2 linked regions of the Pelodiscus sinensis genome follow. The protein of the gene in region 2 purifies or fractionates together with the protein of the main gene of each other region. This does not show direct contact. Links are inferred from orthologs where the notes say so. Each region holds a gene or a part of one and is shown on either strand. Other genes may lie near its edges. The genes, in order: STK24 and CTTNBP2NL.

The links.
Region 1: the proteins of CTTNBP2NL (region 2) and STK24 purify together in Homo sapiens (affinity purification with mass spectrometry; 3 studies listed by BioGRID and IntAct, with this or other methods). This does not show direct contact. The link is inferred for Pelodiscus sinensis from reciprocal best matches to the Homo sapiens genes CTTNBP2NL and STK24.

The regions. Positions count from the first base shown.
Region 1 is NC_134711.1:249,511,274-249,523,549, reverse strand, and holds the start of STK24 (serine/threonine-protein kinase 24), read right to left. Parts: upstream 4,488-12,276; 5' UTR 4,333-4,487; coding exon 4,291-4,332; intron 2,720-4,290; coding exon 2,489-2,719; intron 1-2,488. UniProt on the Homo sapiens protein: Serine/threonine-protein kinase that acts on both serine and threonine residues and promotes apoptosis in response to stress stimuli and caspase activation.
Region 2 is NC_134737.1:2,312,106-2,324,515, forward strand, and holds the start of CTTNBP2NL (CTTNBP2 N-terminal-like protein), read right to left. Parts: upstream 5,001-12,410; 5' UTR 4,690-5,000; coding exon 4,660-4,689; intron 1-4,659. UniProt on the Homo sapiens protein: Regulates lamellipodial actin dynamics in a CTTN-dependent manner. Associates with core striatin-interacting phosphatase and kinase (STRIPAK) complex to form CTTNBP2NL-STRIPAK complexes.

The sequences.
Region 1 (12,276 bases), on a different chromosome or scaffold from region 2:
AGCCCCTAACTTAAACCCATCCAATACATTATCAACAATCTACAACCTATCCTGGAACATGACCTCTCACTCTCAGAGACCTTGGGGGGGAAACCAATTCTTGCCTACAGACAACTCCGTAACCTCAAACAAATTCTTTCCGGTAACCATGTAACACAACTCCATCATAATCATTTAGGAACCCACCCCTGCAATCAGCCCCGATGCCAACTCGGCCCACACATCTACACCAGCAATTTCATCGCTGGATCCAACCACATCAGCCACCAAATCAGAGGCTCAATTAACTGCACATTTACTAATGTGATCAACGCCATCAAATGCCAGCAATGCCCCACTACAATGTATATTGGCCAAACTGGACAGTCTCTACGGGAAAGAATTAATGGACACAAATCAGATATCCAAAAGGGCAATACACAAAAGCCTGTTGGAGAACACTTTAATCTTCCTGAACGCTCCAAGTAGCCGTTTTGTTTTAGACCAATTCCACAAGCCAAATACACAGAAAAGGTTGGAACTTAATTTCATTCACAAGTTTAATTCTTATGCAAATAGTATGAACCGGGATATTGGATGGCTCGCACATTATCTTCCATATTTTAATGACTTAACAAAACAAACAATGAAGATGCTAACAATTCGTATCAGCCTCTAGTAACTATTAATCTAGTAGCACCTTAAAGACTAATCTGGGGTTTTGGTTTTTTTTTTTTAGTTCCTGTTACAGACTAATTCAGCTACTCTTCTGAACCTTATCTACTCACTGTCTTTTTTTTTTTCTTCTTCTTCTTCTTCCCCCCTCCTCCTCCTTTATTTATTCTCGGAACTGGACTTCTAACTCTCCTGTCATCTGAAAAAGTGGGTTGTGCCCACAAAAGCTCGTGATACTATCTACATGTTTTGTTAGTCTTTAAGGCACTACTAGACTATTTGTTGTTTAAGTTTTAAGAATGAAACTCTATATTAATATGTAAGAATACGTTAGCCTAATGTACCCTATAATTTATCTGGGTGAAGAAATAAGGTTTGAATCTGCAAAGTCAGGCACCCTTCATCCATTTTAGAGACTGTAAACTCTGAGATAGAGATAGTACCTACTACAATACAAGAAATAAAGCCTTTATCTGAAAAAGTAGTTACAGCTCCTTTTTCCTGCCAGCATTATTTCAGTCTTTTTTTTCCCCCTGACTCTCTCATCAAGTTCTGTGTTTTCAAGAGAAGTGTCACCTTATTGTCAACCTCACTGGGAAGAACTACATCCATAACAATACAATATGACCATGTGTATTTGGGGCTGTTAAAGAAAACCAGTTTAAATGTTTGCAGTCTTCCTCTGAAGCATATTTACCACCAGACCTGCTGGAGAAATGAACTTTAGGGAAATCAGGAACATTTCCTTTGTGAATAAGGATGCGGAAGAGATTGATTTCTCCTTCACAGTAGGAGAAATATCTGTAATGCCCTTTCTGAATGACTTGTTTCACATAAACACCAACACTTGGTCAGGAGATTTCAAGAGGGGACTTCAGAAACTAAAAGTGGATGCCAGTTTATTTTGTTCGGCAATATGCTTTTTAGGCTTACTACACCCAAAGACAGTGATAGAGTATCATGCCCTCTGAGTGAATATTGGTGATGGACTTTTTCCTCAAGTTGCCTTGGATAACAAGGCCAGGCCACTGGAAGTACACAATTGACTGTCCTACTGGAAGTGGGTCCTTAGAGAAACCTTAAACATTAATCTTTCTGCAAAGAAGAAATACCTTTTTGTACTTGATATATTAAAACTCACTGCAGCTGATTTACTGTAAAAAAACTAGATATTTTCAAAGAAAAATAAAATCCAAGAGATAAGTAAAGCTTGTAACCAAAGCACCAACCAAAACCCAAACAGGATCTCTCAGCCTTTACTTAAGGCTATTCTACTAAACACCTTCTGCAAATAGGTCACAAGTTAGCAAATTAATTTTTTGATCCATTCAGGTAAAAAATAGGATAAAGTTTAAACAAAACTCCATGTTTAAAAAGCATACTTCTACAAAATTGTTGTGACAAAATTGTTAAAATGTGGTAAAAGTTGGTACTGAGTTGTTTCTAGTAGTTTTATGCCAATTTTTATTATGTTTTAAATGTATTCTCAAGTTGAACAATAAACTAAGAGTGAAAATATTCTAAGTTTAAATTGATCTAAATATACCACTGCTAGACCTGAATGTCACCAGTAACAAGTCTGTTACTTAAAGTTTCATTTCTTCCTGTCACTAAGTGACAAAACAGACACGTACTATTTTATTCTTCAGGTAGGTCTGGAAGCAAACTCTTTACAAACTATAAACAGTTCACTCGTTTTAGGGTTTAAAGGGAGAAAATATTTCCTCTTCCATTGAAAAACTATTCTTCTATTCAACCTCAATTTTTTATGACAAGGACATCAGTAGAGCAACATTTTTAACTGTAAAACACACACAGAAAAGCATATTCTTACTTTTAAATAGGATCCATAATACTTGGTTACATAAGGACTGTCACACTGACTCAAAACTGTGATTTCTTGCTGGATGTCCTCTATTTCATCTTCTGCTTCTTCTAGATCAATAATTTTTATAGCAACCACTTTCTGAGTCCAATTGTCAATTCCCTTAAAAACTTCACCAAAAGAACCCTTGCCAATTTTCTCCAGTTTTGTGAACAGTTCTTCTGGATCCGCTTTTATATTCTGTTAAATTTATAAAAAGAAAAAGATACTCAATACTTGCTTTCAGTGTTACAAACAAATATGTTAACATTTCTAAAGACAAAGATTAATGACTTTGTGCAGCTCATTAGAACTAAGGATTTAAAAGACAGTGTAATTTGTTAACTGGTTAAAGGTGAAATTTATTTCACCTTTAACCAGTTAACAAATTAAACGGGCCACTCCAACCTGTTGTGCTGGAATTCCCTTCTTCCCCCCCTTAAGTGTTTGAAAAACTGGGTACTAGATATTCAGCTAGCGACCACAGAGCCTAATGTGTTCAAAAGGTTTAAATTACAGTTCCTGCAAGAAACATGATACAATGAAATCTGTCATATCTTTTTTAATTAAAATTAATCCATGACATAGTCAGATAGAATTTTACAACTTATTTCCTCGTTTTAAACAATTACCAGACATACGGAACACCTAAGCATATTTTTCTGAATAATAATGAGTAATTTTAAGGGTCTCCAGAGGAGATGGATGACTTTGCACAGTACATAAAAGTCAGGAGCCCTCCAGGTCACAACAACAACTGATTTGAGTGCACACTGTCTGTAGGTGGAAGGGAGAACATTGTGCATGTGTAGTACATGCCAGGGTTAACAGTTTAAGTCTTTCCCATTAATATTTCCCCTATGCTTTTGCAAGTACACAGTCTTCTATAGATATATGAATGGGTATTTTCAATTAAAATCTCTAGGCTATGCTAGCTCCCCCCCCAAAAAAAAAAGACCTGAATTAGTGCATGAGATAGATGAAACACTAACCAGAAATAAATTTACTTTAAAGCCACACCAAGCATAAAACATTTCAATCCCAAAAGGTAATTTGAGGAAGTTATAAGGAAATAAAAAAAGAAGGCTGGGCCTCAAAGTGGCATGTCATGAAGTAGCATCCAAGCTCTATTAAAGATACATGGGGTCCAATTAGAACAATACACAAACACTGACAGTTTTAAGGTTTCTCTGCGAGGGCTTTGTTATTTTATTTGAACTAATAATAAGACAAAGACAGACAAAGTAGGCAGGGATGCCTAGCCCAGGGATCATGAGCCCCTTGACAATTATTCAGAAACACATACCGGCCCTAACTAAGCAATTCACATGACAAAACAACCTCCACCCCCTCCTCCTCCCAAAGCGCATCCTGCAGGGCAACGCTTTTGCACTGCAGGGAGGGGTTGTGTTTCCAAAGTCAACGAGCCTCCCCCCCTTCGGGCGGCCTCTGGCTCTCCCGGAGCAAGGAAGGGAGCCAGGCGCACGGCCCAAGCACCTCCGCCTTGATTTAGCCAGGCGCTGGCAAAGCCGTTTGTTTCCCAATGACCGCCCCCACCCCGGGCACGGGCACTGATGGGCGGTGCCAGAGCAAAGTGGCTTTTCCCGGCAGCGGCACGACCGCCCCGAGGACCCCCAGCCGCACACGGGCCGCAGAGGCGGAACCTGGCAGCCCCCCCGCCCGCGGGCGTTTCCAGCAGTGCCGGGGCCCGCACGCCTCCCCTCCAGGCAGTTTATGCCGCAACCCCCGCCCGGGCGGGGCCAGAGTCTCACCGGCATCTCCCGCAGGCCGGGCTGCACCGGGGACTGAGTCATGGCGGCGCCGACGCGCGCTCCTCGGGGCTCTGCTCAGGCGGCTCTAGCGACTGGAATCAGCTCCTCGCCCCCTCCCCCACGCACGACTCGCCGAGCGTCTGCGGGCGGGAGCTCCCTGGCGCTCCTCGCCCCGCCCCGCTTCAGGTCCCGTCAGAGACTCAGCGTCGAACCCGAGCTCCCCATTCCCCTGCGCCGCGCGCGTAGAGCGGTCGTTACCGGTCCCGCGCGAAGGGGGGAGGAGGGGGCTGCTAACGTAACGCAAACCAGCTCGGGCGAGGGACAACGGCCGCCGTGCAAGGGGCGCGCGCGCTCTCGCCCCGCCCCCGAATGCCGGTAGCGGCACGAGGCGCTTGCCGGGCTTCGCGCCCGGATGATGGTGACCGGTCCGGGCTCGCGCAGATCCCCGCCGCCCTGCAGCTGCCAGCGGTGAATCGCCGCGGGAGGGGAGGTCGCGCCCGCGGGGGGTGTCTCGCGTGAGCGGTGTCTGGCCTTCGGGGCCGCGCGCGCGAGGGGCATGTGCCCCCGAAGACGGCTGGGGAGCGGTGTCTGGGGCAGTGTCCTGTGTCTGAGGGGGGCTCACTGGCGAAGGCAGGGCGTAGTGTTCCCTTGTCGTGAGTATCCGCCTAGGGCTGGAGCCTGAGCACAATGCGCAAAAACACCTACACCAGACATTGTGCTAACCTGCACCCTACTGCCATTTGGTCCCTTTTATCTGACATGCTGCAGTGATGTGCATTGGATTTACCTCACTGGCTTGGGAGCTCTTTCTCTAGATTGCCAACTAGCAAGTGAGAGAACTGCCAATGAGCCATTTGAGTAACTCTGACCTGTTATCAATATTTTTTCATCACACCCAGGGGCGGCCCTAGACTAGCTGCTAGCAACTGGCATCCTAGGCGAACCAAGCAATCGGCGCCTCCAACCCCAAGGGCAGATATAGACTGAGGTTTTTGGTTCTGTGGCTGGAGCCAAGGGGGCCGGGGATGGAGATCTGTGGCTGGGGAAAAGGGAGAGGGAACAGGGTACCAGTGGGGGGAGAGAGTCCCCTGCAACCGCCTCCTCCCCCAGAGGGAAGCTGGCACACGCCTCTCCTGGGACGACCCCCCTCGCTTCCGCGGCACAGGGGAAGCTGTTGCCTGCCTCCCCCAGGGCCGACCCCCCTCCTGTGGTGCGCCTCCTCCCCCGGGGCCGACCTGCTCCTCCCTCGGCATGGGGAACCCCTATGTACTGCTTCCCCCAGGGCCGACCCCCCCCCCTGCAGCCAGAGAACCCCCACATGTGCCTCTCCCAGGGCCGACCCCCCACCCCCTCCGCAGCGCAGGGGAGGCCGGCACGTGCCTACCCCGGGGCCAACCCCTCTCCTCCCGTACTGCGGGGAAACCCACGTGCGCCTGTTCCCCCGGGGTTGATCCCCCCTCTCACGGTGCAAGGAACCCCTGCGCATTGCCTCCCCTGGGGCCAACTCCCCACGCTCCTCCTCCGGGACCGACTCACCCCTCCTGCGGTGCAGGGAAGCCGCACTCCTCCTCCAGTGCTGAAGTCAGGCGTTGGGGGAAGGGGAAGTGGCAGGGAATTTGGCGCCCCATTTAACTTGGCGCTCTAGGCAGCTGCCAGGTTTGCCTATAGGCACGGGCTGCCCCGATCACACCAGTCATTTGTTATAACCTCACCTATGCAGAGGATATCATGCACACACAGAGGAGTTGATTTCCCTTTCACACCACTGTAAGACTGGGTCTAAATGTAAAAATTGAATTGATCTGTTTGTCCACATGTGGAAAAGCACACCTCCACTGTAGGACTTACCTGCATTGCTGAAAGAATGCTTCTGTAGATATAGGAGATGACACCATCACTCAGGGAGATGATGTTTCTATATCAATAGAAAATCTTTCAGTCAGTGTACGCTGCATCTGTATTATGGTGTTATGATAGCATAGCTACCACAACACACAAAAAAACAACAAAAGGTCTGGTAGCACTTTATAGACTAACGCAGTTAGACCCCTGTGGGGTCACGACGAATTTACAGAGGGGTTGCAGCTGGATCCGGTTTTTTTCTTGAAAGAATGTGTCTCTCTCCACATGTAAAAAAAACATGAAATACCGGACAGAAGCCCAGCAGGGGCAATTTTACCCTGCCTCATATGGCAGGGGCGGGGAGTGAGGAGCGCTGCAGAGTCTAGTGAAAGGGGGGCAGGAGGGAGCAGTCACCAGGCGCCACGTTGGGGGGGTGCCAGAGCGTGCGCTGCTCTGGCCAACGTGAGCAGCAGAGTCCGACAGCTGGCCACATGATGCTCCTGAGTCATGCTGTGAGCTGAGGCGGCCGGGCCGGGCTGGGCTTCAAGAGCAGCCACTTTGAAAGTAAGAGTTTCCTCGTGCCTGGCTCTGCAGTGGTGGGGGGGAGATTAGATTGGAGCATGCTCCGGGACTCTGAGGATGCCTCTCAGAGGGAGGAGGGAGTGCACTGGGATGGGGGGGTGCTGGGAGGCCTGCCTCAGGTGGAGGGGGGAGTGCACTGGGATGGGGGGGGATGAGGGCCTGGCTCAGGGAGGGCTGGGTGCAGTCCCAAACTGGACAAAGTGGTGCAACTTTTGCTTAACGACTTTTGCTTCCACCCCCCCCCCCCTTTTTCTTTTTTTTGCTTAACAACTTTGGTGAGGGTGCGGGGTGTCACACATTCATTTAGCATTTTAGGGGGTCGTGGTATCACAAAGTTTGAGAACCCCTGGACTAACAAAACATGTAGATCCGTGGTCACTAACAGGTTGATCGCGATTGACTGGTCGATCATGAGGCCTCGACCAGTCAATCGCGCCCCCATTTCCCTCCCACCCTCAAGAAGCCCCACTACCTACCTCAAGTGAAAATGGAGGTAATGTCGACTTCCCTGGGATGGACAGAAGTCCTGCAGCTTAGCGCCACTTCCGACGATTCTGGAAGTGCGCTAGCTGCTCTGCCAGGTGTACTGCGGAAGGGAGCATTGGCTCACTGCACCGCACAGGAGGAGTGAGTCAGCCCCGGGGCAGGCGCGCGGGGGGTGGGGGTCGGCCCCGGGGTAGGCATGCGTGGGGGTTCCCTGCGCCGGGGGGGGTCTGTGCGCAGGGCTTCCCTGTGCCGGGGGGGGGGTTGACCCCAGGGCAGGCACACGCAGGACTTCCCTGCGCCGGGGGAGCGTGTGAATTGGGCCCCGAGGAGGCACATGCTGGCTTCCCGTGGGGGGGGGGGGGGGGGGAGAATCCTGGGAGGTGGCAGATGCAGGGGACTCTCTGCTTCCACTGCCCCCCTCCTCCTGTTCCCATTGCCCCATTCCCACTCCCCACTGCCCAGTTCCCTCTCCCCAGCTACCGAACTCTGTCCCAATTCCCATCCCCACTTTTTGAACTCTGTCCCCATTCCCCTGTCCCGATCCACAGAACCCTGTCCCCACTGGCACCCTGTCCCCTGCCAAAGCACCCACTAGCACCCTTCCCCAGTACTATGTCCCCTGTTCCCACCAACACAGTTGGGACCACATTAGTGAAGCTTAGGGGGGGTGAAGGAGGGTTTTTTTGCATCTCACTTGTGTGGCCCCAACTGACTTTTCTTGGGTCAATGACCCCTGACTCAAGAAAGGTTCCCTGCCCTTCTGAGAAATAAAGAAAATGCAGAAACTTTTTGTTTGATACACTATTTGATTTAAAAATGAAGCCTAGCCAACAAACCCCAAACTGGGGCTAAGAACCCATCTGGCCACAGCATCATAACACTCCTGCGCTTACCTTTCCCCCAGACCCTACATCGGAGCCTATCATACACTGGAAACCCCTGTCCTGAGCCCCTCACATACCTCAACCCAAATTCCTGAACCCTCACATCCAGAAGTCTGTGGCTTGCTTAGTACCCTAACCCTACACTGCCCGGCCTGGCGCCCTCTCCTCAAGCCAGTGTCCTCTTATCCACCTTCTCCTACATCCAGATTTCCTCCCAGAACTTGCACCTCTCACCCCTTCCCACACCCAAATCCTTCATTCCCACTCTAGAGCCTACACATTCTGTCTCAACCCAGCAAGGTTACGGCTAGACTGCAGGAGTTTTTCAGGATTCCGGAGATATCCCAGAAAAACTCTTCTGTATCCACAGATGCATTTGTTCTTCCACTTCTTTTAGTGGAAGAGCAAACATGATCTTTCGGTCACCTCTATATTCCTCTTTCCACAAGGAATAAGGGGGCTTCCAAAAGAAGGGGTTTTTCTGACATTTGGTCCGGTCTAGACAGGCCAAATGTTGGAAAAACCTCTTCCTACAGAAGAATTGGGGAAAAAAGCAGCGGTATAAGGGTTGGGGATAGCAAGTGATGGAGAGGAGGAGAATAGAGAGGGTGGAGCTTCAAGGAAGGGGCGGGGTGGTAGATCTTGGCTTGTTCTGTCATTTAAGAAGTGATCTTGGGTGTGAAAAGGTTGGAGACCACTTACGTAGATGGTATCATGAGCTTTGGTGGGCACATGATACCATCTACATGTTTCGTTAGTCTATAAGGGTATGTCTACACTCGCCACCCTAGTTCGAACTAGGGTGGTTAATGTAGGCAACCGGAGTTGGAAATGATGCCCGGGATTTGAATTTCCCAGGCTTCATTTGCATATTGCCGGGCGCCACCATTTTTAAATGTCTGCTAGTTCGGACTCCGTGCCCGCGGCTATACGTGGCACGAACTAGGTAGTTCGGACTAGGCTTCCTAGTCCGAACTACCGGTACACCCCGTTCCACAGTACTAGGAAGCCTAGTCCAAACTACCTAGTTCGTGCCGCGGGTAGCCGCGGGCACGGAGTCCGAACTAGTGGACATTTAAAAACAGCGGCGCCCGGCAATATGCAAATGAAGCCCGGGAAATTCAAATCCCGGGCTTCATTTGCAACTCCGGTTGCATACATTAACCACCCTAGTTCGAACTAAGGCGGTAGTGTAGACATACCCTAAAGTGCTACCAGACCATTTGTTGTTTTTTTCTGTAACAGACTAACTGAGCTACCCCCTGAAGCTACCACAACACAGTTATGCTGATAGAATCTCTATAATGTGGACATACCACAAATAAGGAATAAACTCTCCCAATGTGTAGGAAAGAGAGGAACTGTGACAAGATCTCCAAAATCTGAATGATTCTTTTTTGAGTTTCAAGAAAGAGGAAACTAGCTCAAAATAGAAATTATTTATACAAAAAACAACACAAATAAGTGGGGACATAATTAGAAAGATCAAGACATAAAACAAGATTAAACAAAATAAGGACATAAAGAGTAACAAAAATATTTTATAAATACATTAGAAGCTTGAGAAAGACCAAGGTCCGTTATTCAATGAAGAGGGAAAGACAAAAACAGAAAACACAGCAATAGCTGAAGTATTAAATGCCTTTTTTATTTCAATTTTCACCAAAAAGGTTAGCTTTGATTGGACAACTAATCATTGTGAATGGAGTAGGCTCTGAGGCTAACATAGGGAAGAATAAGTTAGGGAAGAATAAGTTAAGAAGTGCTTAGTCAATTTAGGTATCAACAGGGCCTAATGAAATCCATCATATTCATATTAAAGTGGCGAGGAGTCCTGTGGCACCTTATAGACTAACCGAAGTGTTGGACCATAAGCTTTTGTGGGCAAAGACCCACTTCGTCAGATGCATGTCACGAAGTGGGTCTTTGCCCATGAAAGCTTATGCTCCAACACTTCGGTTAGTCTATAAGGTGCCACAGGACTCCTCACTGCTTTTGCAGATTCAGACTAACACGGCTACCCCTCTGATACTTGACATATTCACATAGTACTACTGGCTGAGAGATCTCGGAGCCATTAGTAAATATATAATCTGAGTACCCATGGAGTAGAGGAGATATCTCAGAAGACTGGAAAAGGGCAAATATAGAACCTATCTATCAACAAGGGAATAGAACAGCTCAGAGAATTATAGACCAGTCAGTGTAATTTAGTAACCAGAAAGAAAATGGAGCAAATAATCAAGCAATCAGTTTGTAAGCGTCTGGAAGATAAAAAGGTGAAAAGTTAACTAGTGATGTAAAAATCACATTTAATTGGCTAATCCGTTAAAGGGGGTGGGTTGGAGAGCCTCCTCTTCCCCCCCAGCACTGCAGGTACACCAAGACTTACTGTGGACAGAGGCTACTTCAGATGGTTGAAGCAGCCCTTGTCTGTGGTGGGCTCCCGGGTGGACTGGAGCAGAGCTGTTCCAGCTCCTGACGGTCAACATGGCTTTGTAAAGAAGTAATTGTGTCAAACCAACTGAATATCCTTCTTTGACAGGATAGCAAGCCTTATATATGTGGGGAAGCAGTAGATGCAATATATCTAGATGGGGGTCAGCAACCTTTTCAAACCTACATCAAAATTCAGAACAAGTGGCCAATAAAGAGCCATATAAGATTGCTCATTTGCATGACTGAAAATATACAACTTAATATTTATTGATAATCATGATTAATAGCATAAATGAAACATTGTACTCAATATTTTATTTAATGAGACTTCTGCTGCACATTTTTTAAAGCTTACATCATAACTGATCAAATCCAGCTTCATGCACACATTCAGGCTGTCTTCTGTCAATCTTGTGGCAAGGGGCTGAGGATGTGGGGGTGCAGTCATGATTTTATAGATCTCTATCATATCCCCCTTTAGTCTCCTCTTTTCTAAGATGAAAAGTACAAGTCTTTTTAATCTCTCTTCATATGGAACCCGTTCCAAACTCCTGATCATTTTGTTGCCCTTTTCAAAACCTTTTCTAATGCCAATATATCTTTTTTGAGCTGAGGCAACCACATCTGTATGCCGTATACAAGATGTGGGGGTATCATAGTTTTATATAGAGGTAAGATACTCTCTACCTTATTCTCTATCCCTTTTTTAATTATTCCTAAAATTCTATTTGCTTTTTTGACTGCTGCTGCACATTGAGTGGATGTTTTCAGAGAACTATCCACATTGACTCTTAAGATCTCTCTCTTGAGTAGTTGTAGGTAAATTAGCCTCCATCATATTATACGTATAGTTGGGATTATTTTTTCCAATGTTTATTACTTTGCATTTGTTAACATAAAATTTCATTTGCCATTTTGTTACCCAATCACTTAATTTGGTGAGATCTTTTTGAAGCTCTTCACAATCTGCTATGGTCTTAACCATCTTGAGTAGTTTAGTATCATCCACAAATGTTACGACCTCACTGTTTCTCCAGATCATTTATAAATAAATTGAATGGGATTGGTCCCAGGACAGACCCTTGGGGTTACCTCTCTCCATTTAGAAAACTTGTTTACTAGTTACCTCTCTCCATTCAGAAAACTTGTTTCCTGTCTTTTAACCAGTTCTCAAAGCATTAGAGGACCTTCCCTCTTATCCCATGACAACTTACTTTACTTAAGAGCCTTTAGTAAGGGACTTTGTCAAAGCCTTTCTAGAAATCTAAGTATACTATATCAACTGGATTCCCCTTGTCCCACTTGTTTTTGTGCCACGTCGCAGGCACCATGTAACACAGCTTCCTGCTCTTCCCATTCACCAGAAGGAAGCCTCCAGGAAGGATTCACAGGGGAAGACTTCAGGAAGTGTGTCCCAGGAAGGAAAAGGGCAGTGCACGCAGAACCTTTTTTGGTTCTGCTTGCTCTCTGCACACAGGATCTGGTGGGGAGGCTCACAGCTTTCTTTACCTGTCCCCTCATCCCCATGGGAAGGCATTACAATCTTACGGGGGCTGTAATGCTGTAGCACCAGCACTGGGTCCCTGATGTGAGAGGAACTGGGGGGACTGAGTTGAGGCTCCAGAAGAGCCATATCTGATTCCCTACTGAGCCATATTAGGCTTGTGAATCATAGGTTGCTGACTCCTGATATAGACTTTAATAAGGCTTTTGATATTGTTTCACCTGATCTTATAAACAACCTAGGAAAATA
Region 2 (12,410 bases):
TTCACAGGCAGTGCCTGCTCCAGCCCAGCTGCTTCTGGCCCCATGCATGGCTGGAGTAGCCCATGGCTCAAACAGGCTGTTTTCTGAGTACAGGTTAACTGTTACCCAGGAAGCATCAGGATAACCGGTTAACTGGTTACCCGTTAACATCCCTAATACATACAAAGTTGCATCTGTGCTTTCAGTTACATTATTCAAAAACAGGCATACTACTCTCTCTAACTTCTTGTCTTTCCTCAAACGTATTATTAGGCAGTACGCCAAAACCACAACAGAGAATTAAGCTAAAATGAGTAGAATTTGAGGATTTTATTGGAGGGAAAGGGATGGTGGAAGGCAACCTAAAAGCTAAACGAAGCAACTCTTTCCCCAAAATAAAATATTTCCCACAAAAAGTTCTTAAAATGTTCTTTTAACTACTATATTAACAAAATCATCTCTAACCCTTGTGTACAAAATCCTTCAGCTAAAGCACTGGATGGCAAAACTCTTTACTTCATTTAAGAAAAAGCAAATCACCTATCCATTTCTGCTACCCCATAATCTCTATTCAATGCTGTTCTAAAGATCTAAGAGAAGACTAATGACTAAAAGCCAAATACACACCTACAATTAAGCTACCTTCAAATTAAGATGCTCTGTACAGACACACGAGGATTTTTTTCTGGCTTGCAACCAGTTAAGACCAAAATGTTTTAAAAATGTACAACAGAAGCATGTTTGTATTTAAAAATGACTGATCAGACATTTCTGGGGTCACTCATCTCATGTTAGAGAGCTCTCTTCTGAAAATGAATGTTTTTTCAAGCTCTTTATCCAATCCATATGTCTGCTTGCCTCCCCCCCGCCGTGAGTGTGTGTGTAGGTATGTATGCGCGCGCACGTGTGTGTATATATATATTCACACACATACATACATACACACACACACAGCCTGACACTTAAGTTATAAGTACCTTCAACAACTGAATTCAGATGCATTCGGCAACGTATGGGACAAGGGTCTATGTTTCTAGCGCTAATGTTTGCAAAAATGTGTGGTTTACATTTCAAAGGTTGAAATTTTGTCTTCCTGAGTCTGTACATAGAAAGCCCCAGTAAAGCCTGTTGCTGCTGGAAGCCTTGCTGAGCAACAAGAGAGTATTTAATAAGACCATGGTCATTTTCATTGAAGACCAGAGGATTCTGAATACAAGTTGAACCTCTCTAATCTGGCATCCTTGGGACCTGACCGGTACCAGATAGGTATGTACAAAATTTTAAAGTTATTAACCATGTAACTGATAGAAATTCTATGTTACATGGTTAACCATGGCTCCTGGGGGATTGCCACAGCTCCCAGGGCTCCGCAGAGGCTCTTAGGGCTGCCGGGACTGCTATGGCTCCTGGTATGAAGAATTTAAACAGTGCCAGCAACCAATAAACACTTATCGGTTAACCAGGTACCTGGTTAAATTCTTACATCTCTAGTGCCAAACCATGGGAGGTTAATATTGCCTTGCACAGTGGTTCTAAAACTGTGGTCTGCCGCTTGAGCTCAGCTCCCCCTGCTTCCACCCTCTCTCTTACCACAGCAGGGAGCCCATGCAGGCGTTCCAGCCTCGTGTTCCAGCCTCTCGCACCCCCTTTTCCTCTGGCAAGGTTAGATCACCAGCAGTGGTTTCACTTGGGGAATAGGAGGAAAGTGAGACTTCAGTCTCCTCGCTGGTCCTGCCTTATGGGGAAGAAGTGGAGCGATGCAGAGCCAGAAGTTGGGGAAACAGCAGCGCACTGATGTGCTGCCTGGAGGCTTTCCCCGCTAATCCTGGGAAATCCAGCTGATGGGAGCAGCAGGAAGACATGCCCAAGACACTATGCCTGTGAGCAGTGTGGGGTGTGAAAGCAAGTAAGTGACCCCACTGCCCCTTCATGCCCAGACCCCACACCTCTACCCTGCTCCTGCACTGCCCCTCGCCAAAACTCCTTATCCCCAAGCTGCTCCTGCACTCTCCCTCGTGGACACACACCCTACTCCCTGCCTGATCCTGCACCCCACCTCCTGCCCAGACTTCGCATTCTTACCCCCTCCTGCAGCCCACCTCCCACCCAGATCCTGGACTCTCACCCCTATCCCACTCATTGAGAGCTTTGTCCCACACACTGAATCCCTCATTTTTGTTCCCACCCCAGAGCCTAGGAGGGTCAAAAATCCCCTAACCCTGAAAACCCAGAAGAGTAAAGCCGGCCCATGGAAAGCCCTGAACCTTAGTTCTCCCTGTTCCTCCATGGTGCTGGAGCAGCAGAGGAGTGAGGTGTTTCATTTAGGGGTCACATCAGTGACGGTTGGGGGGGTTTTGGAGGAGTTTTTTGCTTCTCACTTTTGTGGTTCCCAACTGATTTTTCTGTGGGTCTATGGCCCCTGATCCAAGGTTCCCCACCCATGTTATAAATAAAGAAAACATTGAAACTTTTTGTGTTGGACATAAATTAATATTTTACTATTTAAAATGAAGTTTGATAAACATGAGAAAGTTAAAGAGCTTAATCTATTTAATATTTCCTTTCTTACTGGTTAAATTAAACCATTTTCCCTAGCAGCAGCACTAACAAAATGACTTGAGCAAAATTATGTAATTAACGGTGAGTTTCCATTAGCAACTGGTGGTCCACGGAAAGGCTTACATTAAGCCAGGGCAGCATTACCAACACTTCCACTGCTTACTGGGCTCTTAGAAGACATTTAGGGGGTAAATTAGAGCTAAAGAACAGCACAGAGCACAGAACCAGGTCCAGTGGTTTCAAACAAACTTTATAGGATGCAGGAAACCTGGTCACACCTATGCTAAGTGGGCATCAGGCTAACTAAAAATCACATCAGACCACGGATGTTGCCAGACCAGAGTGCTGGTTTAGAGAGATTCAACCTGTAACAGCAGAGAAACTCAAGATTCAGGTTAACTTCAATCTACTACTTACGAAAATTGAACTGGATGTAAAGGGTCATACCTGTAGCATAAAACCTGCTACACAAGGCAGTAGTCCCTGTGTTCCTCACAAAAGAGGACCATGCATAAAAGCAGACTAGTCAAGAGTAGTGTGGCTACTTTATTTCCTCACTTTCTTGCAGCAGCCAGGATCCTGAAGCAATATACTCCTCTTCCTTTTTAGTGGGAGTTCTGGGTTTCTCACAGAAGCATTGCTTCAGGAGTTGGCCCACTGGTCCATGGAGAGGGCTTCCCCACTCTTGCCTTTTGTATAAACCTCTCACTATGAGGCTTAGTTTTAAGGCTAGTTAGTGTACAGTAAATTTTTGAGACCTAATTAGATATATTTCTTTTCCTTATTCCGTCAGCAATTCCCTGACAGATACTCTTCATGCCTCTTTCTTCCACTAAGAAAAGGGAATTTTTAGACCTAATTTCAGTGCTGGTCTGTGAAATAGCCAGCAATGGTGTCAGATAGAACCTGAGCAAGCCAGCACTCCATCTATTACAGACCAAGGATGTAAAATTTCATGACATCCATGGGTCCCCTGAATCAGAGTCTGTTCTCAAAGAATTCAAACAGTGGTCCATGAATATTGTGCACACAGACCAGATTGTGAGACTTGGAAGCACTTAAAAAAGAATAAAAAATGACTGATCTACATATTTAAAAAAGCTGACTGTGGATTTCTCATCAAATCCACAGCCCCCGAAAAGGTTTAATAAATAAGCAACAGTCCACCTATCCTTTATCTCCCCAAATTCAAGTTTCAGTAACACGTGAACAAAGAATTGCCAGGAAAATCCACAAAACTATAGTTTTTCTAAACACACATAAATTATCAACCTTTTAACTTTTGCTTCAGAATGCAAATTATAGATAAGAAAAAAGGCAAACATCTTCAGGTTTTTTTTAAACAAAGACTATTAAATGTCTACCTAATACATTAGAGACAGACTCTTTAGAAAAAGCTTGGAATATAACAGCTTTAAGTTAGATGTTTTTATTTTGTTTTACACGAGGAAAGAACAATTTTACTGTTTTAAAGCCCTGATAATCCCCCTGTGAATGGCTAGCCCCCGTCAATTTTACTGCAAATTGAGAGATATGCAATGACCATTTTGGCATCTCTATTCACAATGTCGTGTGACTATGCAGGTCAAGAAACTGCCACCTGTGTGTCCCTGTCTTGCTTTACTAATAGCTGTTGAGCTTAACTTTCATGTTAATTTTTCTCTGCCTCTTTCCTTTACCATGGTGAGGACAGTGCCAGTTCCGCATCTTATATCTTCCAAGATAACAAGCCTTTGTTTGCTTTCTTATTAGTTTGCTTCTCATTTCTATTCATGGAATACTATTATGCAACCTTTGATGATTTTTAACTCTTAGCTGCTGGTGGAGACCTGCCAGGTAGGAACCCACTTCCTGCTAAAGACATTAAGAACTTTTATCTGTTATTAGTGACACAATGTGGGCGAAATATTTTTCAACCTCACCCTCCTTATTTCTGCATCATCCTGGGACCAACACTGCATATTCTGGTTTATAACACTCAGGATTTCAAAGACTATAACCAGCCTTGATCAGAGAAATTTTCCTCTACATTATCTAGTTTTTCAGCCTACCCATGTCCATCTCATTGTTATGAACTTAAGGAGGAGGTGGATGACAGTAGAGGGATCAGCTGATGATTACCTGTTCTACTTCCTCTGGGGCATCTGCCATTGCCACTGTTGGGAGACAGAATACTGGGCTAGATGGACATTTGGTCTGACCCAGTACGGCCGTTCTTATGTAGGAAGCACACAACTCGGTCTGCAGAATTCCTCTCTTAATTGCATCCCACGGGAAACCCTTTTGAATAAACACGGTTCTCTTCCGCCCCTTTAGATAAAAAAAGGGAGGGGGAGGGGGAAGAGAATCTGGATCTGGATTTCTAACGCTCCAGTCATCTGAAGAAGTGGGCTGCGCCCACGAAAGCTCACGCTCCCATGGGCGGGTTTTGTTACTCTTTAAGATGCTACTAGGCTGTGTGTTGTTTTTTCCCTTTCCCCTGTTACAGACTAACTCGGCCCCCTCTGCCCTGTAGATACTGATGGGCAGTGCTTCCCTCCATTCTGCGCTCTCCTTTCAAACCCGTTTGTGTTTACACACACTCCCCCCCCCCCCCACCTGGCAGGAGTTAGCTCGCACGCCCGGCGCTCCCCGTGCTCTCAGTATTAACACAGCCACACAGCAGCGAACACTTCCCGCGGGCGCGGTGCACGCGGCGGGGCGCGCTTTCCGCCCGACTTGGGGGGGGGGCGTCCTTCTTCCCGCCGTGCCCCCGTCCAAGCTCGCAGCCAGCGGACGGACACGTCGGGGCCCAGCCCCCCGCGGGTCCGGAGCGGGCAGGGGGAGCGCGGGCGCGGCCAGAGCCCGAGGCGACCCCCCCCCCGGCTAGCGGGGCGGGCGGGGGCGCTAGAGCTGCCGTCCCGGGCCCGGCACCTGGCGCGAGCTGCGCAACACGGCGCGCGCCAGGCGGCCCGAGCGCCCCCCCCCCCCCATTTTGGGGCGCGTGAGCGCCCAACCGGCACAACGGTCACCCGCCCCCCCCTCCGCAGCCCCGCCCCTTCTGAACCCCCGCGCGCGGGACTCCGGGAGGGGGAAGCAGCGCCCCCCAACGACACTGACCTGCCCCGGCCCCGTCCAGCTCCGCACCCTGCCGCGCTACCACCCGGCCAGGCTCGTCGGCCCGGCCCCGCTCGGCGACCGACGCTCGCGCCCGCCAATCGCCGATCACCCCGACCCGGGCCGGCAGCCAATCCGCGAGCGAAAGGGCGGGGCGGAGCGGGGAAGCCGGTCGCCGGCGGCGCCGCTAGCCAATCAGGGCGCGGTGCTGGGGACGGAGGGGCGGGGCGCGGGGGCTGAAAATCCCTTTTGTTCGCAGTGCTGGAGGGAGAGTGAGGAGCCGTGATTTACACGTCACTTCCGGGGCTGGAATCTGAGCGCGGGTGCAGAGAGCTGCTGGCCCTCTAGGGGGAGCTGTTCCCAGAGCTTGCAGTTTGGATGGGGGGGGGGCTGTCCCCACACCCGGGGGGGGGGGGGGGCAAGAAAAGGGGGTCTGGGAGCTCCCCCTTCTCCTCCCATACCGGCTGGAGGCAGGGCACAGGGCCCCCTGAGCTTCCCCTTCCTCATGCCCCAGCCTGGGACAGGGCAAAGTGGGAGGTGGGGGGCTCTCTGCTCTTGCCTCCAGTCTGGAGAAGCCCCCCCCCCCCAAAAAAAGCACCCTCCAACCCTGGTGCTATTTCTCACGCACCTGGCTGGCCGCTGCAGCTCTTTCTGCATCTAGTTCAATTTCTGCTGCACAGCTATGGTGAAATACTTGCCACAAGGCCTCCAACACACACTTTTTAAAAAGCTGTCCCTGGTCCCATAAGGGTAGCAGAGTTAGATGGTAACTGGAAAAACGTAAGAAAAAACAAATAGTCTAGTAGCACCTTAAAGAATGTGTAGATGGTATCATGAGCCCATGGGCACAACCCACTTTAAGCTCATGATACCATCTACCTGTTTTGTTAGTCTTTGAGGTGCTGCAAGACGATTAGTTGTTTTTTAAGTTTTTTCCTGGTGCTGGTGTTTGCTTACCCTGTGCCATAGATATCAGAAATGGAGCTGACAGTGGGCATGGTCCTTTATGCTGGCTGTGCTTGCCAGGTTCCATCCAGCCAGTGAAGGAAAGAAACCTGATTGGTAGTAGATGGTGTGAATAGAACACCAATGCAAGATAGTGCACATCTCTTCCTGAGGGGTTGTTTTCTTGAAACTTCAAACTAACGGCCAACCTCCAAATGGTTTTGTTATTTCTGTCAGTTTCAGTGCTATCAGATTTTGTAGTCAAGCCCATCTTTAGACTCTAAGCTTTTTAGCACAGGGAGCATCTTGGCTTTTTGAGGTGCATAGCAAAATAGGATCTCAATCATGGTTGGGCCATCTGTGTAGTAAGTAAATCCATTTCTTCAGGTCTGAATATTGGTGACATTGTAGCAGAATTTTCAGAAGCCTTCATGATCCATCACTAATTTTTAGTGTGCAGCAGCTGTTCCTTCATTGATCTGCTGCACACCATTCATCAATCTCCTTGCTTGTTGTCCCGTACTAGCATGATCCTCTATCATTCCTTCCATAATAACTTTTCCAAGTTTCCATCTCTACGGCTCTGTAAGCAAAATACATAAGTTTTCAGCTGTTGCTTTCTGACATCGGGGTCTGCTTCTCTCAAAAAGATTTCTAATGTAGACATTCATCTTTTTTCCATCCGAGAGACAGCAAGAGTAATTTCCAGCATAATATTCCAAAAGCTTCAGTTTTCTTCTTGTCAGCAACAGCAGCATTAATTTACCATGATTCATATCTCTAAGTCATTATAGAAAAAATGATGCATTTCACCAGTCATACCTGCGCACATTTTGAAATGCTATGTTTTTTCCATGCTTTCTTAAGAGAGGCTGTACTTGAGCACATCTTCTTGGGAACAAATCCCCTTGCTTTGATATACTGTATATCAAAACAAGGAGGCTTCTGTATTTATTTCCTTATAGCTTCTCTGCCAATTGTGATATCTGCTTGGTACTATTTAATACAAATACAAGACAGAATCCTGTTACTTTGCACCCCTCAAATCCTACCTCTTCCACAGGTTCACTTTGTGATGGTAGGCAAGTCAAAATTTCCATGGCTCAGTTTTCTCATCAGTAAAATGATAATAATGATTCTACTTCACTCCCATATAATGCTTTTCATAGCATAATAATACCTGCTGCAGTGAATGTTGTAAAGCTTAATTAATATTTGAAAAGTGTCTTCAGATCCTAAACAAGCCATGGACATAAGATAAGGGGAAAAAAAGTAGTAACTCACATTCCCAGGCCTTTTAATCTTTAAAGCATTTCACAAATCTTTAAACGTGTTCACAAATCTTTAAACGTGTTATTATGGTAATGCATTATTATTGGAAAGAAAATTTTGTTTTCATGTTTACACAGAATAATGTAACTATTTCAGAAGTGAAGAAAATTAATAATGACAGTGACAACAGAAAAAAACTGCCTTCACTGTCAGCAGCATCTTTCCTGTTTTTTTAAAACATCTGTTATGAAAATATGACCTCTCTAATAGCAAAGCAGTGCAGAGGCCAATGCAAAATCTGTATTTTTGACAAACCCTAATTCTAATCGGAAGAGCACATGACAAAGTGAAAGCAAAATGAGATGAAAGGTTAGTAAGATCTGTCTGTTTAGTCCTTGGAGCAAACCACTCTATCACTGGAGTTTAAGCCTTTCTTTCTATCACATTAATAGATTCCCCAGAGAGACAGAGAGAGAGTTTACATGGATGCTGTTGTTGTTATTCTTCTACTCCAGAATGGTTTTCGTGTAAGATAAGAAACTTGTTCTGATGAAATCACACACTCCATGAGCTGCTTTGCAGCTTGGGCTGATTTTATTATTGTGATTATTATTACTATTTACCACTAGAAGATTTACCTGGCATTGATCAAGTCCTTAACTCAATTTTTGTTTTTTGGGAAATAATATGAAAATGTACATGCTTCATTGAAATAATTGCCCTGGGCTGGCACTGGGGATGAGGGATTCAGTATGCAGGTTGCCCCAGGAAGAGAGGACTATCCCAGCTCTCTCTCATTGCTGCTGGGGCAGGTCCAGGTTGGACTGTGGGAGGGCACAGAAGGACCACATGTCCCGCAGCAGCAGCAGTTTTGGGATAGCTCTAGGTTGGGTGCTATAACTGGGCGGGGAGGCCCCTCCTCCACTTGCCCCAGCAAGGAGCAGATGTGTGTGTGGAGGGGGAAGGTGAAGCACTCCCTCCCATGACTCCAGTGCTGAGCTGCCACAACTGGGGAGGAGGCACAGACACCCCTCTCCTCCCCAGCCCAGAATGGAATTGCTGCAGCAGCTCTGTGCTGGAGCTGGCAGGCAGATGTGGCACTCTGCATACCTGCCCTGAGCTCCTGCCCTCCCTGAGCCCGCCCTGAACATTTGCTCAGTTCGGTCAGTTTTGAGGACTGTACTGGATTTGGTGATTCTGTCTCTTTTCTGTTTGGTTTTATGAGGAGAAATCCCATTCCAGGCACATCCCACTGTCTTGGCACAACCAAACCTTGGTCTTGCTTTAAGTTATGATAAGAGGAAGTTGCATAGCAAATTTGGTGGTCCTAGCTCTTAGTGTTTAGGACAGTGGTCCCCAACGCGGTGCCATTTATGTGCGCCCGCGGAGCAATCTGGGCTGGCCCTGGCCCCGCCCCCGGGCGTGCGGCAGGTGCCAGCCCCGGGCGCATGGGCCGCCCCTACCCTGGGGTCACGGCGCATGCCAGTGCCGGCCCCGTGCATGCAGCACCTGGGTGGCCTCTGCCCGGGGTTGCGGCACATGCCGGTGCCGGCCCCAGGCGTGCAGCGCATGCTTGGCCCCACCCCCAGGCACTTGGCCCGTGAGCGGCCCCACCCCCATACGTGCAGCGCATGAGCGGTCCCGCCCCCAGGCGCCCGGCAGTCCCAAAACGTTGGGGACCACTGGTTTAGGAGGAGTTCTTAAACAAACGGACTCATGGACAGATGGACAGACAGATGCACAAACTCTCTCCAGTGTATGGTGAGACAATCCCTACCCAAACCTCAAAATTAGAACAAGAGAAACAAAGCTTTTGTCTAAAAAAGGACAATTTAGAAATTGCTTTAAGCAGCAATTTTGGTTGCAAAGTGAACAACTGCAGTAAACCAGTGACTGATCCTTTTTTCCTTTTATTTTTAATGAGAAATGTGTTTGAGCAAACAGGTCCTACAGAGAAAGGGATAAATCTTCTGCTGTTTTAAACATATAGCTTGGCTGAAGTTGATGGAACTATGCTTTTTTACAGCTCCTCAAGGACCCTGGGGCTCTAGCTTTTCTTTATTAACTTTGGAAGTAAATAACTATATTCTTATTTATATTACATTAGTGCTTAAATCCTAGCTATGATGCTGCTGTGCTAGATGCTGTACATTCACAGGCTATGTCTACACTGCCCCCTCTTGTGCAAAAAATATGCAAATGAGGCAATGGGAGGAATATCGCTGCGCCTCATTTGCATAATCAACGAGGCTCCATTTTTGCGCAAGAGGCTTTTGCGCAAAAACCCCTCTTGCACAAGAGTCGTTCATCCTGAAAAAAAGAGGAAGAAAGGCTCTTGCACAAGAGGGGATTTTTGTGCAAAAAGGAGACATGTAGACGGCTCCTTTTTGCGCAAAAGCCTCTTGTGCAAAAACTGAGCCTAATTAATTATGCAAATGAGGCATGGTGATATTCCTCCCATTGCCTCATTTGCATATTTTTTTGCACAAGAGGGGGCAGTGTAGACATAGCCACAGAGTCCCATCCCTGCCTTACAGGCCCTTTGAGACAAAGGGTGGGAGAAAGGAAGATTATCCCCATTTTACAAATGGAGAACTGAGGCACAGAGAGATGAATTGTCTTGACCAAGCTTGCACAGGGAGTTTGTGGCAGAGATGGAGATTTTCTTGGTGTCAAGCCTAGCACATTCATCACAGGTCATTCTTTTTGGCAGCATCAACTTTCCTCAAACAATGAGGCTCAAGACCAGTGTTTCTCAAAGTGGTCCACGAAACCACTTTGAGAAACCTGCTAATTGGCCGGTGTAGTGTGTTTATTTACCAGCTCCACTGTCATGGAGGCTCATGGCTCCCTTTGGCTCCAGTCTGCTGTTTGCAGCCAAGGGAAGCCACGGGGAACTGGAGCCAATGGGAGCCGTGAGGTTCCGTGGCCATGGAGCCAGTAAATAAACAACCCACACCGGCCAATTAGCAGGTTTTGCTCAGACCTGCAAGAAAGACCCAGTTATCACCAGTTGCGGGGGTTTTTTTGCGGGGGGGGGGGAAGAGGAGAGTGAGCCATCTGAAAAGATGTAGTTGTACAAAGAAGCTGACGTAAAACCTCAGGATTAAGTTTGTTTCTTATTTTCCCTGCAAATCACACTATGGCATTTAATGATATTGGTGCACCAAGCGTTTACTTGGAAAGGGGTTTATTGTATGTGCAGTGTGACTTATCTTGATGGTAAATCTGATGATGACTCAAACTTCTCATGATTCTTGATGCTGTACAAACACTGAATGACGCAGGTGTTGAGACAGGTATTTTGCAGATGGGTAATAGGAAAACAAGCATGTTTAAAGTTTTCTTACCCAGAACCACATGGAAAATAGAACCTATGGGTGCTCCTGGACTGCCATTTTAACCCATATACCTCATTGCCTCCTTATTGAGAGCAGTGGTCTCCTTGATTGATGAGTTGATTGTCTAGCCCTTTGTTCTCTGAGGAATGGGGGTTACTGCCATGCGTGCTGCTATGGGCATTCCATATTCCTACACAGCAATCCGAATGAGAACTGAACCCACTTCTACAGAGGGTGCTGCATGGACCCTGATCTCCCCAGGAAGATGTGCTGAAGAACTGGTAAGTCATGCGGGAAGCCAGAGAATAAATCTGAATTGCCACCCTTACTGTTATCTATGACCCTGCTGACAGCAGACCATGGGGCTTGTGGGTGCCTATGAACCTACATTCCCTCGCGACATTTCTGAAGAAACAGCAGCAACAGCTTAAAACAGAAGGCACAGAGTATAGGGAAGGCTAATGACACCAGCACTCAGGCGGATAATAAACCCGTCAGTCTTCAGTGATACAAGTGACAGAGAAGTGCTCAATTGTGCAGTGATAGTGGTAGCAATAACATATATATCCTCAGACATTCTAGACTCCTCTCCCTTCTACCTCATGAAGTACAAGGTGTTTATTTTTCAAGAGTGTTGTTCATGCATAAAGTATTGCAGAATATTGTTGCAGGGTTGCCAACCCTCCAGGATTGGCCTGAAGTCTCCAGGACTTAAACATTAATCTTTAATTACACGTTGTCATGTGACGAAACCTCTGGAATACATCCAACCAAAACTGGCAGCCCCAATGCTCACGATTTACTGTCTGGTAAAAGGTATCATCAGTAAAAACAACCCTTCACACTTCCAGAGTGCCTTACCACCAGTGATCGCTGAGCCCTTCAGAAACACCGCGAGCCTCTCAACCTTTCCCAGGAAATAGGCATCCGGGCGCCTACTATTTAGAGCGGAGCAAATAATTGATTTTTTTTTATTCAGTGACCTGCATTTGCAACTGTTTCAGTTGTCCAGCAACTGCATTTTTTTAAGCAAATAAACTGTCAAAAAATTCACCCAGGCAGTTCTACCACCATTATAATAGTGTCAGGAGGGTAGCCGTGTCAGTCTGTAACTTTAAAAACAACGAGTAGTCCTGAGGCACCTTAGAGACTCACAAATTTATTAGGTCATGAGCTTTTGTGGGTATGAATTTTCGTTTTACCCACGAAAGCTCAAGA